Linked DNA regions of Oryza sativa Japonica Group. The protein of the gene in region 1 interacts with the protein of each later gene in a pairwise test. Links are inferred from orthologs where the notes say so. Each region holds a gene or a part of one and is shown in the gene's direction. Other genes may lie near its edges. The genes, in order: 187-kDa microtubule-associated protein AIR9 and KIN14I.

Evidence for each region.
Region 2: the proteins of 187-kDa microtubule-associated protein AIR9 (region 1) and KIN14I interact in binary tests that used the Arabidopsis thaliana proteins (3 or more experiments, as listed by UniProt). The link is inferred for Oryza sativa Japonica Group from reciprocal best matches to the Arabidopsis thaliana genes AIR9 and ZWI.

What each region holds. Positions count from the first base shown.
Region 1 is NC_089041.1:2,552,252-2,555,303, forward strand, and holds part of 187-kDa microtubule-associated protein AIR9, read left to right. Parts: intron 1-55; coding exon 56-224; intron 225-363; coding exon 364-448; intron 449-532; coding exon 533-606; intron 607-734; coding exon 735-854; intron 855-1,353; coding exon 1,354-1,537; intron 1,538-1,628; coding exon 1,629-1,750; intron 1,751-1,833; coding exon 1,834-2,041; intron 2,042-2,170; coding exon 2,171-2,244; intron 2,245-2,332; coding exon 2,333-2,471; intron 2,472-2,560; coding exon 2,561-2,742; intron 2,743-3,052. UniProt on the Arabidopsis thaliana protein: Microtubule-associated protein that may be involved in the maturation of cell plates and proper insertion of cross-walls after cytokinesis.
Region 2 is NC_089038.1:34,567,103-34,571,368, reverse strand, and holds the start of KIN14I (kinesin-like protein KIN-14I), read left to right. Parts: upstream 1-1,386; 5' UTR 1,387-1,949; coding exon 1,950-2,014; intron 2,015-2,428; coding exon 2,429-2,501; intron 2,502-3,177; coding exon 3,178-3,309; intron 3,310-3,453; coding exon 3,454-3,683; intron 3,684-3,760; coding exon 3,761-4,088; intron 4,089-4,266. UniProt on the Arabidopsis thaliana protein: Minus-end microtubule-dependent motor protein involved in the regulation of cell division and trichome morphogenesis through microtubules bundling. Possesses basal and microtubule-stimulated ATPase activities.

The sequences.
Region 1 (3,052 bases):
CCTGGATGTACCAAGTTACCAGCTACATCCTTATAAACTTTTTTTGTGTCCACAGACTAGTTCAGATGGATCACAAAAACAAATTGAAGGGGCTGCAAGTTCATCATACACCTTGAACTGTAATGATATTGGCTTTTACATATCTGTCTTGTGTGAGCCTGTTAGAAGTGATGGAGTTCATGGTTCTTTGGTGTCAACAGAAGAGTCTGGTCCTATCTTACCTGGTAGATAAACTGATAACTTGACCACTTTGGCAAATAAGTGTTCTTATTTGGTTGTGTGGTTCAGCGTTTGTTCTTAATTTGAAAAACAATAAGTGGACTAAACGGAGGACTAACATTTTCGTAATTTACCTGTTTACAGGACCACCTACATGCTTATCTCTTGAGTTAGCTGGCCCTATGGTTGAAGGTGGCTGTTTGACCTTTCATGCTGAGTATACAGGAGGGTGAGATACATTACCTCCGTTTTAGATTATGTCTAATGCCGCACATTTGATGACATTATTTTTTTTTCTTTCTTATCATTCTAGTTTCAAGGGAGACTGCATCCAAGAATGGTTCAGATTACATTCTGATGGCAGCAAAGAGAAATTGTCTACTGATGGTTAGTTTACATTAAGCATTCTTTCATGGCATGCGTATAGTATCTATCTTTCACACACAGCTGCAATGTTTGTTTGTTCTTTTCTCTTTGCATAGCAAACTAATGGTTGATTGTTTGTATCTTAATAGAATGTCTAGATCTTACTCTAGACGATGTTGATTCGCGCATTGAGCTTATATTCACACCTGTACGAGATGATGGATCACAAGGGTCACCTAAGAGTGTTCTATCGGATACAATTCTACCTGGTTAGTTTTCCTCAGAATGTTATATTTTTGCGCTAGGACCTGAATATTTTATGTCAGTATGTATCTTGTCCACCAAAGCAGATAAGATGAATATAGTTTTGGGCATATTTCAGCATAAGCATAAGTGTGCTGTTGCGGGTCCTAGTTTTTTGTGCTAGGACCAGAACTAAACATAAGCATGGATGCCTGCTTATGTTTGCTGTTGCGGGTCCTAGTTTTGTTTTGACAAGCCTGTAATGGTCCAGGGGTAGCATTTCGTTTGTGGAATCTTCTGAACTAGGGCCGGCAGATTCTGGAGTGACCCTCATGTTTAGTTTCTAATCTTTTCTCTTTGCTTTTGTAAAGACTGCTGTTACTAGCCTATCATTTCTAGTAAAAGAAATGGGAGCCTTCTGGCTCTAGTTCAAAAAAAAAAAGTTTTGGGCATATTTCATCCATAATTTAATAATATTATTATAATCGATGTCATTAATTATTTGTTGGTCCATCATTGGCACAGGGGACCCCAAGGGTGTTGATCTTGTTCTACCAGAGTGTTTTCAAGACAATGAAATTTCTCCAATCAAAACCTACTTTGGTGGTAAGGAAGGCACTGGAAAATATACATGGTACCGAACTAAAGAGAAGCTTGACAACTTGGAGGCTGATCTGGTGGCTTCATGTTCTGAAGTTGGAGTAAATTTGTGCGTTCTCCTACTGATTTCATCAAGCTTGTTACTTTTGAATGGTTTAGGTTAAGAACTAATCCTCTTTGATCTAATGGAATGCTGTCAGGATGTACAAACCTTCGTTAGATGATGTTGGTTTCTACTTGATTCTTCACTGGGTTCCTGCACGATATGATGGAGAGATCGGTGACCCGTTGGTGGCTGTTACCAGTGACCCTGTCATGGCAGGTTGCCCATTGATCTTTTCCTTGCCAGTGTTGTGTGTTTACTACTACTGCCTGCACATCCTCAGTCCTTTACCAACCTTGCAGCATTTCCATCTGTTTCGGATGTTCACTTGAAGCAGAAAAGTTCATTGTTGTATAGCGGAACAGGAGTCTATTATGGTGGATATGAGGGGTCAAGCTTGTATAAGTGGTACAGGGAATCTAGTGATGGAACCAGGCATTGTATAGATGGTGCTGATTTAATTATATATGAAGTGACAGATGCAGATTATAGCCGCCGTCTACTGTTTGGGTAAGGCACTTTAATTTTTCTATTTTGAACTGGTCTTGCTCACATTTAAAATGACTTGGTTACATTGTGTTACTGCATAACCGATCAGGCTTCCATTTGTGGAATATGATATTTTGTAATTCTTGATAGGTACATTCCCGTTCGTTCTGATGGGATCATTGGAGAAGAAAGGCTCTCTGAGCCATCTGATATAATTCTCCCTGGTAATTTTAATATCTGAACCTATTACATACTGTTCTATGTTCACATTTTCCATGCAACTACATGTATTAATTCTCCTTTTCTTTCCAGAACGACTTAAAATCGAAGCACTCTCTTTCAAGGGAAATCAGGTTGAGAGAGAGACACTGACTGTTCTTGAACAAATTCCAAGCACTGCAGTTCAACAACATCTATGGAGTAACTACAAGAAAGAGATAACATATCAATGGTAATGCAAAGAGGTGTATGTCGTGAGTCATGACTTTGTCACATTGTTCAATATGGCATATAACACTTGCTGTGGATCTCTGGATGCAGGTTTGCTTCCAGTGGATCTGAAGTGGATCAGACTTTTGAGCCACTGGCTAACCAGTGCTCTCGCTCATACAAAGTACGTTTCGAAGATATTGGCCGATGCCTGAAATGTGAATGCTCAGTCTCTGATGTATTTGGACGATCCAGCGAATTGATATCCATTGTGACTGCTCCGATCTTACCAGGTTGGTTGTCTACCGCTTATGTCTTATTGATTAAATCAGCATGCGTATTGTAACTTTGTGAAACTGATGGATATTTTAGTTGAGCAAAATATTCATTATTTATTTCAAAATGGATAGGCCTGTAGAGGATCAGTCCATAGGCTTGCACTTCTGCATCTTGACTCCCTCTTTGCAGTTGGGGTTTGGATGCATCATGTTGTATTAGTTCAATTGGTGCATAAGTGTGTACTTCTGTCATCTTCATTGAACTTCTTGTGTATATACTACTAAAAGAGGCTTGGCTAGTTGGATTAATCTCTATTGCCAAGTT
Region 2 (4,266 bases), on another chromosome or scaffold:
GGCGCGCGTGTGCACGGTGCGGCTAGCTAGCTAGCTCGTCGTCTCTCCCCTTATTGCCGCCGCGCGTGTTGGGCCGCGAGATGCCGTCGTTAGGTGGCGGTGCACGGCCACGCGAACAGTAGTCTGGCCAGTTGCTTCGCGCTCTACGGGGATGTTAGATTGACATTATTTTTAATCCTGTACTCCATCCATCGTTAAGAGTTAGACACAATTGTTAAGAAAGTATGTAGAAATGAATGGTGGAGGTTATGATTAGATGATTAGTGAGATAGGTGGAAAAAGTGAATGATGAAAGGTTGTGATTGGTTGAGAAGAGAATGTTGATGGAGAAGTTGTTATATTTTCAAACAAATTCTGAGAGATAAAAGTTGTTATTTTTGAGACGGAGGGAGCATTATTTTTAAGTTGTTAAAAAATACTTACATTTAGTTAATGCTAAAATTTAATAAAATTTATTTTCACTACCATCTATACACCCACTATATCAGCACAACTGCACAAGCGGCGCCAGCAAAATCGATAGTAGTATACCGGATGTTTCTCGGTTTTACTGCAAAACGAGTTCGAGGACACCACGTTCTGCCAAACTTAATGTTTTTTTTTCTTGTTTGCCGTTATACTAGGAGGAGTAGGCTGGATGCAACAACATTCCCAATATTGAAGGAATATATAGGCTTGCAAAATGCCAGGACAAATTAAGAATTTGAGATGGGAGGAACGGGACAGAAAGCGATGTCATATCCTATTTGCTCTCCCGTAGGACCCATAATCGCTACACGTGGAATCGCGGGGGGGGGGGGGGGGGGGGACATCCGACATGGGATTCGTTCAATTCCAACTCATGCGGGGTAAATGAATGCATTTTGGTTTAGTACGCTTCACTTCATTGCACAAATAAATTGCGTGATTCAGTACGTACTATAAAATCCAAAAAAAAAAGAGTTACCAGTATTACCATTAGCATATCATTGCATACCAGATACGACTCTATGTTTATACTAATACGTGAAGCTGCAAATAGGCAAATGAAAATCAACTCATCTACTGCCTGGACTAGAGTACGAGAAGTAAAAATCTTCACGTCAGGATGCATGCTGTGTGTCACGTTGCTCATCGCGCGGTTCACGCTTGACGGCCATGTCATCACTGTAGAGTGGGCCCAACAGGACACCTCCCCCCTTGCTTCTTCTTTTTTTTTTTTTTTTTAAAAAAACAACGCAAACTGTTCTCCTCAAGCGCACCTCCCCCCCGAAAAATCAAAATCGAAGCGAGAGCGAGTAGTAATTCCCTCGCTGGCGCTGCTGCGTGATTTCTTTAATCCTCCGCCTCCGCCTCCTCGTCCTCGCCACCACTACTCCTCCCTCTCGTGAGCCCCTCGCCTCTCCCTGTCTCCCTCCCACCTCTCTCTCTCTCTCTCTCCTCTCTCTCTCTCTCTCTCTCTCTCTCTCTCTCTCTCTCTCTCCTCCTCCTCCTGCACCGCCCCGCGCCGCCCCTTGGCTTGGATCTCGTCCTGCCGGCCGCGGGCGGACGCGGCGGCGACCCGGTCCTCTCCCCACACCCCGACACGCCGTGCGAGTAGCTGTCTGTCTATACTTTCGAGGCCTGCATTGGCGGGATCTGCGTCCATTCGTCGAGCTGCACGGAGCGGGGAGGGGCGCGGAGCTCTGAGCTGGTGCTTCTGCTTGCGTTTTTTGGGTGTCGCTGGATCTGAGGGCCGCGCTGCTCGCCTGCTCCACGCCGGCTAACGGGGGCGGGGTTCAGGGGGTTCAGGGGGTTCTGGTGGTGGTTGGTAGCGATTGCTGCGTGGTGGATGGGAGTTGAGGCTTGAGGTTGAGGGGTTGCGTCTCTGAGGAGCGGGGTGGATAAGGGAGATGGCGGCCGGCGGCGTCGGTGGAAGCAACGGCGCGGCTACTGCCGCCACGCCGCTGCATGGCTCGGCGACCTCCAGCATGAACGGTGGCGGCGCCAGCGGCGGCGATGGGTACGACAGCGACGGCTACAGCTTCGCGCCACCGTGAGTGCTTGTCTCCTCCTCCTGGTGTTTCTGCTGTCGGTTTAGCGATTTTTGATTTCCTGCTGAAATTTCGGATAAGTTTTGTTCGTCTGAGGTTTTGAATTTTCTATTGTGTATGATTACCTAAAAGTTTCCCAGGCTGCTGGAAAGTAGAGGAAAAGTTGGGTTGAGAGAAGGATTTACTCATTTATTTTGGATTAGTGTCGCTATAATTGGGTGTGTTTGTTGTACTTGAATCCTGGCCTACCTTACTACTGCTTAAATGCTTCGGGTACCAAATTTTTTGTTATTCTGAACTTCGCCATTGGATCCCTATTTACCAAGCTGTGTTCCGTGCACATTCACATGCGATTTTTATTTGCTCTGTGAGGTAGAATGGATCCCTATTTACTCTCTGCATTACTGTTTTTGCAGTACCCCGACGACTTTGTCTATGTCCATACCTCCGGAACTTGCTGGAGCAATTCCACTTATTGATAGGTTCCAGGTATATGCTAGCATTCCCAATGGTGTGATACATCCCATGGCGATAGCAATATCTCATCCATGTTCAATTGTTTACATTACGATTGATGACCATGTTGTGCCTTTAGTGGTTTACAAGAGCGTACACTTTAGAGCTGAGGCATTGTTTTGCTGAACAATTGCAACAGTTGATTGTTTGAGACGGAAGATGCCCATCATAATTATCACCATGCAATAAATTTGACGAGATCCTGTAACAACTAAGAATTGATGTTTTCTCTATAAATGGATGGTGACATATTGAGAGAAAGGATAAGTATTCATATAGCTATGCATTTTGCACTATTCTAACTTGAATAAATAGGCTTGTCTACCTCGTTGTCATTAGTCCTTTTGTCCTTAACATTAGTATTTGCAAGTAGGAAACTTACCAGGCTGAAGAATTGGGAAAGGCTCCTCACAATCTTCTCATTGGTTGTAAACTGGATCATACTTGAATCTTGGATTTAACTTAGTTCGTTAGAGTTCTGTGTTTATTTGTAAATTTTGTCCCTGCGTTCAGTACCTGTAGACTGCAGTGATTCAATAGGAGCATGGAAATATTTCAATAGAATCGATTATTAGTGTCAGTACGCATGCATAATGAATTAATATGACTGCCATGTTAATCGTAGTACTGAAATATGAGTATATGACAGGTAGAGGGCTTTCTGAAGGCAATGCAAAAACAGATCCATTCAGCTGGAAAACGTGGTTTTTTTTCGAAGAAATCTGTGGGACCACATGTTCGTGAAAAGTTCACCTTGGAAGATATGTTGTGCTTCCAAAAGGTGATGCCATCAATCCCCACATTATCTGTTAGGTTGCATTTTGAGCAATTTGTTTATGTTTTCAAATCCTTTGCAAAAGTATAAGATTATGATAAAAATGGCGATGCTTCTATTATTCAGAGTTTCTTTGGTCTATTTTTGCAGGATCCTATTCCAACGTCATTGCTAAAAATAAGTAGTGACCTTGTAAGCCGTTCAATTAAGTTATTCCATGTCATACTGAAGTACATGGGCATCGATTCCCCAGCAATAATAAGTTTGGATGAAAGAATTGAACTTGTTGCAAAGCTTTACAAGCATACTTTGAAACGTTCTGAACTGAGAGATGAGCTCTTTGCACAGATTTCAAAACAAACACGTAACAATCCCGACAGGTATGAAGCAGATTTCTCATGGATAGCAATTCGATGGGATACAACCATCTTATGAATGTTATTATTTGTACTTACAGGGCTTGGTTAATAAGAGCTTGGGAGCTTATGTATTTATGTGCGTCATCCATGCCACCAAGCAAAGATATTGGAGCATACTTGTCTGAGTATGTTCACTACATTGCTCATGGCGCTACAACTGATTCTGATGTTCGAGTTCTAGCACTTAACACACTAAATGCACTGAAACGCTCAGTTAAGGCAGGCCCTAGGGTTACAATTCCTGCACGGGAGGAGATAGAGGCTCTTTTATCCAGCCGTAAGCTTACAACAATTGTTTTTTTCTTGGATGAAACTTTTGAAGAGATCACATATGACATGGCAACAACTGTTGCTGATGCTGTTGAGGTATTTACATTTCTCCTCTGCAAGTAGATTTGAAATTGATATATGCTAATGCTGTTGAGTTCTTCAGAATAATTCAGTCAGACACATATAATATTTTGTTGGTACGGGTGCAACTTTCATGTGATTAAGCTATTATTGGTCGGGTAGTTTAATAATAACCATATGAGCATGGCATGAT